Linked DNA regions of Saccharomyces cerevisiae S288C. The protein of the gene in region 1 interacts with the protein of each later gene in a pairwise test. Each region holds a gene or a part of one and is shown in the gene's direction. Other genes may lie near its edges. The genes, in order: PPH21, PPE1 and BZZ1.

Region 1 (3,710 bases):
ACTCTTTTGGAAGATTTTTATCATCGGTAACATTTCCATCAACGGTGCCCTTATCCTGAAGTCTTAATTTATCAAACTGCGCCTCTAAAACATAAGGCGGCACTGTGGTAGGCACAAACGTGTAAGTATTTAATTTTGGATAGTCTAGTGGTGAACCATCACTGTGTTTGGGAACATGTATCTTTGCATTCTGTAATGCTTCCAGTGAACCTGACTTCCTTACTGTTTGATTTTTTTCAAGATCCACGTTTAAATTAAGTTGATTTTGATCTGCGATTCTAGAAGCGTTCGTGGATGTTGTATCAGAATACGCTTCTTGGCTGGAATTAGAATCCCCCATTAAATTTGTCAGTGTAAAAAAAAAGAACGCCTCAAAAAATGCAAAAAAATATCATTCACTTTCCCTTCTCAGCAATCTCACGGTTTCGAAATAGCAATCAAAGTATTTTTATAATTGACTAAACAAAAGGTGGTTGGAGACTTTGTGTTGTAGCTTAGAATTTCTTCCACTATATGAAAGCCAAGACCTCTTCTCCTCTTTCGACACTTCGTTTATTTCCACTTTCCCTTATTTAGTATTCATCGTTCAGAATGCTTTCTTTATTTCACGACGGTTACCACACCCGTACACCCTTATCTCATTTCACCAGTACCTTTCCTTATTAGATTCATCTTATTTTATTTTAGGATTTTTAGGTCATTGTACGACGCGTGTCGCACCATGGAAAAGGTGTCGCAGCTGCGATGCTATCCATTTACCCGTCATCATTGCTGGCAGAAATCCCATCTTCCTCTGCTGGGGTGATTTATATATATGGAGAGTTAACGAATGTAATATTTCTGAATGTTAAATAATTGTTATCCGTCATTATTGTTTCACTTCTCTCTTTGAAATTTCGCTTGTTTTCTGTTTTCATCTTATATTTTACTTCAATCCTAAGATAGTCATATCGACTTAATTCCAAATGAGAGCTAAGTGGAGAAAGAAGAGAACTAGAAGACTTAAGAGAAAGAGACGGAAGGTGAGAGCCAGATCCAAATAAGCGGATTGAGAGCAAATCGTTAAGTTCAGGTCAAGTAAAAATTGATTTCGAAAACTAATTTCTCTTATACAATCCTTTGATTGGACCGTCATCCTTTCGAATATAAGATTTTGTTAAGAATATTTTAGACAGAGATCTACTTTATATTTAATATCTAGATATTACATAATTTCCTCTCTAATAAAATATCATTAATAAAATAAAAATGAAGCGATTTGATTTTGTGTTGTCAACTTAGTTTGCCGCTATGCCTCTTGGGTAATGCTATTATTGAATCGAAGGGCTTTATTATATTACCCTTTAGCTTATTCTGAGGTTTCTGTGGCGTGCAAAGTGATGAACCGGGCGGGTTTTAAGGATAAAATCAAAAAGTGAAAAAATGAACGGAAAATGGAATACCTGTGAAATGGAGAATGATAATGAATCTTTCTGTCGTGCTTGAAAGATTTTCGGCTATTTTAATCGACTAACACATAGTAGTAGAAATAGTTTTCCGGATTACATTAGTTCGGCATTCTTTTTAGCAGGTTTTTGTTACAGGTTCCTTTCGACGCACCGTTTCACAGTAAAGGAGGTAATTAGTGAATCAGACGCTGCACTTTCATTGATTTTGATATACACATACTCCAATTAGTTTTAGTGTAAATTAAATTGCCCCAGTGGACACGATATTTACAAAAAGTGTTTTATTCTTCTTAGAAATACACCTGTTGGACTGCTCTTTTTTCACTCGTCTTCCCCTAGTTTTCTTTCCTTACCAGTAATTTAGTAAGAGTTTAGTGAGTTCAGGTTGAATAGAGTTATTATCTAATTTTAAACTGTTAATTTTACCGGTTGTGTTTTTTGAAATAAGGCAAAAGAGAAAGAAAAAAACAAATTATTTTGCCCCTATTTAGTTCATAGTGGAAAGAGGGATATAAATTATCGCATAAAACAATAAACAAAAAGAAAAATGGATACAGATTTAGATGTGCCTATGCAAGATGCTGTTACCGAACAGCTGACTCCCACAGTATCTGAAGATATGGATCTCAACAACAATTCATCGGATAATAATGCAGAAGAATTCTCGGTTGATGATTTAAAACCTGGTTCCTCGGGCATAGCAGATCACAAATCTTCCAAACCACTAGAACTGAATAACACAAATATAAATCAGCTTGACCAATGGATTGAGCATTTGAGTAAATGCGAGCCACTATCAGAAGACGATGTAGCACGACTATGTAAAATGGCGGTGGACGTGTTGCAGTTCGAGGAGAATGTTAAACCAATTAACGTGCCTGTTACCATTTGTGGTGACGTACACGGTCAATTCCATGACTTGTTAGAACTTTTTAAGATTGGTGGCCCTTGTCCTGACACCAATTACCTTTTCATGGGTGATTACGTGGATAGAGGATATTATTCTGTTGAAACTGTATCTTACCTAGTTGCCATGAAAGTCAGATACCCACATAGAATTACGATACTGAGAGGCAATCACGAGTCTAGGCAGATTACCCAAGTATACGGGTTTTATGATGAATGTTTGAGAAAGTACGGCAGTGCAAACGTGTGGAAAATGTTCACAGATCTTTTCGATTATTTTCCTATAACCGCATTAGTAGATAATAAAATTTTCTGTCTGCATGGAGGACTTTCCCCCATGATAGAAACCATAGATCAGGTGAGAGAGTTGAACAGAATACAGGAAGTGCCTCATGAAGGTCCTATGTGTGACCTTCTATGGTCAGACCCTGACGATAGAGGCGGATGGGGAATCAGTCCCAGAGGTGCAGGCTTCACTTTTGGACAAGATGTCAGTGAGCAATTCAATCACACTAATGATCTATCACTAATAGCAAGAGCTCACCAATTGGTAATGGAAGGCTATGCTTGGTCTCACCAGCAAAATGTTGTCACCATTTTCAGTGCTCCTAATTACTGCTACAGATGTGGTAATCAAGCAGCTATCATGGAAGTGGACGAGAATCATAATAGACAATTCTTACAGTACGACCCATCCGTAAGACCAGGTGAACCTAGCGTCAGCAGAAAGACGCCAGATTACTTTTTATGAGTATGTATACATATATGCATCTATATAGATATATATTCACTTTTCTCCTTTACCATTATCATAGTTAATTACACATTTAGCCAAAAATAAACTGCAAATTGCCTTGCAAATTTTCTTCTTTTATTATTCTTCAGATATATCAATCAATACGAGGCTTTTTTTCCTCCCCAACGCTTTAATCATTCTGATCATTACTCCGGGTGAAACGGTTCTCTAACGCGATCGTTTAAATTTCGCGATAGATCAGGGAAACGTTATAAAGATTGAGTGGAAAGAACTTCCATTCTTCAGGCTGCTTGTATTACTTTGATTCTTTTTCTAGCCACACGAATAACTCGAGTATTGAGCTTTTTTATTAGAGAAAAACTGAATAATGGCCGAAGAAAGTACCGACTTTAGTCAATTCGAAGAGGAGAGAAACAACGATCAGTATAAAGTTTCAGCCAAAAAAACTGTTGACGAATACAAAAATCTGGATGCTGAAGACGAATCCTTGGCGAAATGGAAAGAGTCTTTGGGTCTAAGTTCAGACGTCTTGCCATTGGAATTTCCCGGTGACAAAAGGAAGGTGGTTGTTCAAAAAATTCAATTACTAGTCAATACAG
Region 2 (3,757 bases), on another chromosome or scaffold:
AATCTCTGAAGACTCCACACCAAGAATCACCCAAGTTGGCAACTTCCAATTTTCCATTAGATGGGAAGTGAGCCACAATGGCTGTTGTCCCACCAACCTTCACTACTTTCTCATCCCTAATTTTTGCGTATGCAGCACCAATAATTTTCTTTGGCGTTAAAAGCGTTTCTTTGGATGAATTTTCTGCTAAAGCAGTGCTTATTTCGTCCATTTTTTTACACAATTCTCTTGAGATGGCGCTGGAGTCATACCCATGCTCAGCCCATCCTCCAACACCGTCTGCGACACCGGCAAAAATATCGTGAACGTTGTTTGATGTAACAAAATAGTTGTCTTCTCCTGTAGGTGATCTAATAGAATCCTTTAGTTTTTGGTATATCAGATCGTCTCTGTCTTTTGGTTGGAAAGCTACCGCGGTTTTATAGGTGAACGGGCCTGATTGGCTACCTGAACTATACGCATCACCATGACTGTTGTTCGATTGATACCCACTCTTGGCACTTGAGTAAAAAGTCCTCTTGGAAAAGCTGATGATTTGACTGCAGGATCCTATGATATGAGAAAAGTTAGTCTCTGAGTCGATTAGCATTTGTCCCGCAAATTTAGCAATTAGCACACCAATGAATAAAACAATAAACATACCATAAAGGGGACCTCTCGAGACCCTCAAAGTTCTAAATCCAACGTTTGCAAACATTTTTGGTGGCTTTGTCGTTTGTTTTCTGGACCGCTTTTATTGCATGTGTCTTTTACATTTGTTTACTGTCAAAATGAAGCTCGCGTGTAAATTTGTAGATTGATTACAGAAAGATGTAGCTGAAACCAGCCAAGAAAGAACAATTAGCACATCTCATTTTATAGAGCCTCAGTTTCTGTCGTACGACTGTTGCAAAATATGTAGGTGGAAGTGGATTTTTAAATTACGTTTAAAACGTAGATTGCGAGTCACTGAATGGCAGCAAGCTTATTAAAATGATTAATTTCTAATTTTATTGTGATATAGGCAACTTTGGATAGAGGAAACAATGAGCCGTAAGAGTGCTAGTTACTGTTTTCGCACCGCCGCAATCGTATAGGTGCGTTAATGGCAGTTTAAAAGCTAATACTGCTTACATGAATGTCAACGGCGCCAGCATGGTCAAATAACCGGCAATATGTCCTGCTTCAAAGTTAAATAGTTTGAAGTATTTAGTGCAAAAGTGCCATCTTCTTTCTGGGGAAAGTTTTAAAGATAACATCGTTATTGGTGTAATTTTGAACAACTGCATGATCATGAGTTTACTTGAGAAAGATGGCTTTATTTACTGAAAATCTGCTACTGAATAGAAAGCGCTCTTAAAATCAAAAGGAGAAGAGAACCAAGAAAAAAATTACGCAGATTGTGCCAATTCCAAGATGAGCTGATGCACGATATTTGCAGAAATTTATAAAATGGAAAGATCTGCAAAATATCACGAAGACATCAAAAAATACGATCTTTACACCCAAGGTATTACAGTCTTTGGGTAATGAAATTATCAGATTTGATGGAGGGCTTTTGTGATAATCCTTCTAATTCATAACAAGAACTTTATACGGTACACATGTGGAGAAACAATTTCCTTACTTAGATTTCTTAAAATGAAAGATTTAAAACACATAGAGGAAGCTCAATGGCCGACGCCAACTCAGGATGACAACGGTTTGTTTGTGAATTTGGATGTTTCAAACTCGGATCAAAAAATTCACAACATAATTGAACGGTTGGTCAGGAGAACGAAGAAGTTTTTACAAAGGCTCAAGTATAAGGAATGTCCTGCGCAACGTAATATATACCAGAAGGTCAATCCCAGCCTTGACGTAGTAATATGCCCTTAAACCTCCAGAAAATTCCCCCAATATAAAGTATTGCCGGGAAACAGCATATATACTTACAACAAATAGAATCGTTGGCACCGACATTGAAGTGGACTATGTTCCCCTATGAATTGTTCATAGTAATATTGTAGAAGACCCTATTGTTCTTGTAATTCGGGTAATATATTTGAAATTGTACAATATGCCTATTTAGGGATATCATTAACTGACTGCAGCGGTAATGATCAACTAATGCTCAACAAAGAGTCAAAAATACGGCAACAAACTGGTAGTAACGGTAGGACATTTTCAAATTTTCAATGTCTGACGATTTGAGAAGAAAAATTGCTTTATCCCAGTTTGAGAGAGCCAAGAATGTTCTAGATGCGACATTCCAAGAAGCATACGAGGATGATGAAAACGATGGTGATGCATTAGGTTCCCTGCCATCATTTAATGGACAATCAAATAGGAACAGAAAATATACGGGCAAAACCGGTAGTACTACTGATAGAATTTCAAGTAAGGAAAAGAGTAGTTTACCCACTTGGAGTGATTTTTTTGATAATAAGGAGTTGGTAAGTCTTCCTGATAGAGATCTGGACGTAAATACATACTATACATTACCTACTTCATTGTTATCAAATACCACTTCAATTCCCATCTTTATTTTCCACCATGGGGCGGGCTCCTCAGGTTTATCATTTGCAAACTTGGCCAAGGAATTAAATACTAAACTAGAAGGAAGATGCGGATGCTTTGCATTTGATGCTAGGGGGCATGCAGAAACAAAGTTTAAGAAGGCTGATGCGCCTATATGCTTTGACAGGGACTCTTTTATCAAAGATTTTGTAAGCCTGCTAAATTATTGGTTTAAGTCTAAAATAAGCCAAGAGCCACTTCAGAAGGTATCTGTTATACTAATTGGTCATTCCCTTGGTGGAAGTATATGTACTTTTGCGTACCCTAAATTATCAACAGAACTACAAAAGAAAATTCTTGGTATTACTATGTTAGATATTGTAGAAGAGGCTGCCATTATGGCCTTAAATAAAGTTGAACATTTTTTGCAGAATACACCCAATGTATTTGAATCAATTAATGACGCTGTCGATTGGCACGTTCAACACGCGTTATCGAGATTGAGGTCAAGCGCCGAAATTGCTATACCAGCTTTATTTGCTCCGCTCAAGTCAGGGAAAGTTGTCAGGATAACAAACCTTAAGACCTTTAGCCCTTTCTGGGACACATGGTTTACCGATCTGTCGCACTCCTTTGTTGGCTTACCTGTTAGTAAATTATTAATATTGGCGGGAAACGAAAATCTCGATAAAGAATTAATTGTGGGGCAAATGCAAGGTAAATATCAGTTGGTAGTTTTCCAAGATTCCGGGCATTTCATTCAAGAAGATTCGCCTATAAAAACAGCAATCACTTTAATTGATTTCTGGAAGCGGAACGATTCTAGGAATGTAGTAATCAAGACTAATTGGGGTCAACACAAAACCGTGCAAAATACATAAGGGTTAAATATCACTTTTATATCTTTATTTATGATAGAATAAATAACAGAATATATGAACTCGTGGAAAAGTCTTATTTTGCTGTGAGCACTTCTTCTGTGCTAATCAATAGACATAATGTCAAGCGTTGAGCCTTTATGTGCTTCACACTGCTCGACAACTTCATCAATTTTTCTTGAAGCCCATGGAAATCTTGGGTTGATTAAGAAAGGACGTAAGTCAAATCTGTTGTCTTCTGGTGAATACTGTTCAGCATGATAACTAGGAGTTAAAACAGTTTGCTTGTGTCTGTTGATGGCATAGAAGAAGAAAAATCTTTTCACCTTTTCAGATATTTGACGAGGTGTTAACTTTGGGGACCATTGATGAAGAAGTTTTAAGAACATAGAATAAGGACC
Region 3 (3,757 bases), on another chromosome or scaffold:
GAATGAAAGAAAAAATTCATGTTATGTGAGCAAGTAGGTAAAAAGAAAGAATAAAAGGTTCAGCTTTTCTATGTTCAGGATACAACTGAGAACTATGTCCAGCAAAACATGCAAGAGTGATTACCCAAAGGAGTTTGTCAGTTTCTTAAATAGCTCACACTCTCCTTACCATACAGTTCATAACATCAAAAAGCATCTGGTGTCAAATGGCTTCAAAGAGTTGAGCGAACGTGACTCGTGGGCTGGCCACGTCGCACAAAAAGGAAAGTACTTTGTGACAAGAAATGGCTCTTCCATTATTGCGTTTGCTGTTGGTGGAAAGTGGGAGCCTGGTAATCCAATTGCCATTACGGGTGCTCACACCGACTCCCCCGCATTAAGGATTAAGCCTATTTCTAAAAGAGTCAGTGAGAAGTATTTACAAGTGGGCGTGGAAACTTATGGTGGCGCTATTTGGCATTCATGGTTTGATAAGGATTTGGGCGTTGCCGGAAGAGTTTTCGTAAAGGATGCGAAAACTGGCAAATCCATTGCTAGATTGGTGGATTTGAATAGACCTCTGTTAAAGATTCCTACTTTGGCTATTCATCTGGACAGAGACGTAAATCAAAAATTCGAGTTTAATAGAGAAACTCAACTGTTGCCGATTGGTGGTCTGCAAGAAGACAAAACTGAAGCGAAAACTGAAAAGGAAATTAATAACGGTGAGTTTACCTCCATAAAAACGATAGTACAGAGGCATCACGCAGAACTTTTGGGGCTAATAGCCAAAGAACTCGCCATTGATACAATTGAAGACATTGAAGACTTCGAATTGATCCTTTATGATCATAATGCATCCACTCTAGGTGGGTTCAACGATGAGTTTGTCTTCTCTGGTCGATTGGATAATTTGACATCTTGTTTCACATCAATGCACGGTTTAACGTTGGCGGCTGACACAGAAATTGACCGAGAATCAGGCATTAGATTGATGGCATGCTTTGATCATGAGGAGATTGGCTCATCCTCCGCCCAAGGGGCAGATTCTAACTTCTTGCCTAATATATTGGAAAGGTTGTCCATCCTGAAGGGGGACGGTTCTGATCAAACTAAACCTTTGTTTCACTCGGCAATATTGGAAACTTCCGCTAAGTCGTTTTTCCTTTCATCTGATGTTGCTCATGCAGTTCATCCAAACTATGCAAACAAATACGAAAGCCAACACAAACCCTTATTGGGTGGTGGTCCCGTAATCAAGATTAACGCGAATCAACGTTACATGACCAATTCACCAGGGTTGGTCTTGGTGAAAAGACTAGCAGAGGCTGCTAAAGTCCCTTTGCAATTGTTTGTCGTAGCTAACGACTCACCATGCGGTTCTACCATCGGCCCCATTTTGGCCTCAAAGACAGGTATTAGAACTCTAGACTTGGGTAATCCTGTGTTGAGTATGCATTCGATTAGAGAGACCGGTGGCTCTGCAGACCTGGAGTTCCAAATCAAGTTATTTAAGGAATTTTTTGAACGCTACACTTCCATAGAATCTGAAATTGTTGTCTAAACTGCAATTGTTAGATGATTCATAATCCGGTATATTTATTGCCCTCTTTTGTATTTTACAAATAGTAAATATATATAATATCTTGTGATCTACATAAGCTTTCGCGGGGTCTTCAGAAAAATAAAAAGTTTTTAAAAGAATATACGCTTAGCAAAGGAATAGACAGATTTAGTTTGTACGCAAATAGTTTTTGAAGAAGGTAGCAGATTGATCAATTTTGTATGAGCGGAAATCTATCCTTAAACGCCAACTACTACATTACTTGCAATAAAAATGAGTGCAGATTTATCGATTGGTAATGAAATTAAAGATTCATTTAAGGAAACCCATAAATGGGTCCAAAATAACTTAAAATGGTTGAAGGACATTGAGCAATTTTATCGGGAAAGGGCTAAGTTAGAAAAAGACTACAGCGAGAGATTATCTCGCTTATCAGCAGAGTACTTTAATAAGAAGTCTTCGACCTCAGTTCCTATCTCGGTAGGTGACACACCTACTACCACGCCAGGGTCCATTGAAGCTGCAGGTGTGGTTGCATGGAATGAAATTCTATCTCAGACTGATATGATTTCCAAGGATCATGATCAGTTATCAACCGACTTTGAAAATCATGTAGCAAATCAATTGAGTGGATTATTCACTAAACTTGATATGACTTTGAGCAAGATAAATGGATTTAACAATGACATGGTTAATAAAAAGGATAACATTTACCACGAACTGGAAAAAGCGAAGAAGGACTATGATGAAGCCTGTTCCACTATGGAAATGGCAAGAAATAGGTATACCAAGGCATCTAATGATAGAAATAAAAAGAAGTTGGATGAAAAAGAAATGGAGATGAACAAGTGTAAAAATGAATATTTAATCAAGATCAACCAGGCAAATAGAACTAAGGATAAATACTATTTTCAAGATGTTCCTGAAGTGCTAGATCTTCTACAAGACGTAAATGAGGCAAAGACCCTTTTCTTAAATGATCTGTGGTTGAAGGCGGCTTCTGTCGAGAACGATCTGGGTGCAAATGTCAGCAAAAGACTCCAGGCGGCAAATTCTGTTGTCAAGCAGAATAAACCCTCTTTAAACACGGCCATCTTTATCAAGCACAATCTAAAGAATTGGAAAGAACCACAAGACTTTGTCTATAAGCCATCTCCAGTATGGCATGATGATGAAAAATTTGCTGTTCCCTCGTCGTTGGAAGTTGAAGACTTGAGAATAAAACTGGCAAAAGCAGAAAATGATTACAATTCATTGCAAGATAAAACTCAAAATGAGTTATCCAAACTGTCTACTTTGAACAAGATAAAGCACGAAATGAAAACTAATGAAGATAATATCAATGCCACTAAGTTTTATGATACACTAAAGGAATACTTAAATGTCGTTTCACCCTTTACCTCACACGAAACATTAAAATTGCAAGCCGAAGTTCAAATCGAAAGTATTCAGAATAATGTTCCTGAAGAATACGATTTATCCACAGACAATATTGATCTTTCCAAAACAAAGAAGAAATCCGGGATATTCAGTAAGTTCAAACACAACATCCTGAACGTCGACTCGAAGCCTTCGAGTGGAGGGAGCACTGGTAATGGCAACGGAGGACCCTTGCATATAACAAGTCTCTTCAACACATCAAGAAGAACTAGGCTAGGCTCTGCCCCTAACAACGCTGGTGAAGATTCAGATAATAATTCTATACGCACCACTAGTACCAACAATACAAAAAAGACCACACAAAATTCCAGTGATGACGGCAAGAATAAAGTGTTGTATGCATACGTACAAAAGGATGATGACGAAATCACCATTACGCCAGGAGACAAAATCTCTTTGGTTGCACGCGATACGGGTTCTGGATGGACTAAGATAAATAACGACACCACTGGGGAAACCGGCCTTGTACCCACCACATATATTCGCATATCTAGCGCGGCTACAGTTAAAGCAAATGATAGAGGCCCTGCACCAGAAGTACCACCACCAAGAAGGAGTACACTACCTGTTAGGACGATGGAGGCCATATATGCCTACGAAGCACAGGGAGATGATGAGATTTCAATTGATCCGGGGGACATAATTACTGTTATCAGAGGCGATGACGGTAGCGGGTGGACATATGGTGAATGTGACGGATTGAAAGGTCTATTTCCTACAAGTTACTGTAAATGAACGAAGGAATGAACTGAAACTATTAAATATTTTCCCTGG

The links.
Region 2: the proteins of PPH21 (region 1) and PPE1 interact in binary tests that used the Saccharomyces cerevisiae proteins (3 or more experiments, as listed by UniProt).
Region 3: the proteins of PPH21 (region 1) and BZZ1 interact in a two-hybrid assay, tested with the Saccharomyces cerevisiae proteins (one large-scale study listed by BioGRID).

What each region holds. Positions count from the first base shown.
Region 1 is NC_001136.10:219,057-222,766, reverse strand, and holds PPH21 (phosphoprotein phosphatase 2A catalytic subunit PPH21), read left to right. Parts: upstream 1-1,995; coding exon 1,996-3,105; downstream 3,106-3,710. Other genes in the region: SRF1 (phospholipase D regulator), read right to left, coding at 1-340; 60S ribosomal protein eL41 RPL41B, read left to right, coding at 966-1,043; RDI1 (Rdi1p), read left to right, coding at 3,479-3,710. UniProt on the Saccharomyces cerevisiae protein: Exact function not known, phosphatase 2A performs an essential cellular function.
Region 2 is NC_001140.6:248,041-251,797, reverse strand, and holds PPE1 (phosphoprotein phosphatase methylesterase 1), read left to right. Parts: upstream 1-2,156; coding exon 2,157-3,359; downstream 3,360-3,757. Other genes in the region: type 2C protein phosphatase PTC7, read right to left, coding at 1-549, 643-697; QNS1 (glutamine-dependent NAD(+) synthetase), read right to left, coding at 3,461-3,757. UniProt on the Saccharomyces cerevisiae protein: Demethylates proteins that have been reversibly carboxymethylated. Demethylates the phosphatase PP2A catalytic subunits PPH21 and PPH22. Forms inactive complexes (PP2Ai) with phosphatase PP2A-like catalytic subunits.
Region 3 is NC_001140.6:336,267-340,023, forward strand, and holds BZZ1 (Bzz1p), read left to right. Parts: upstream 1-1,816; coding exon 1,817-3,718; downstream 3,719-3,757. Other genes in the region: APE4 (aspartyl aminopeptidase), read left to right, coding at 71-1,543. UniProt on the Saccharomyces cerevisiae protein: Plays a role in endocytosis and trafficking to the vacuole. Functions with type I myosins to restore polarity of the actin cytoskeleton after NaCl stress.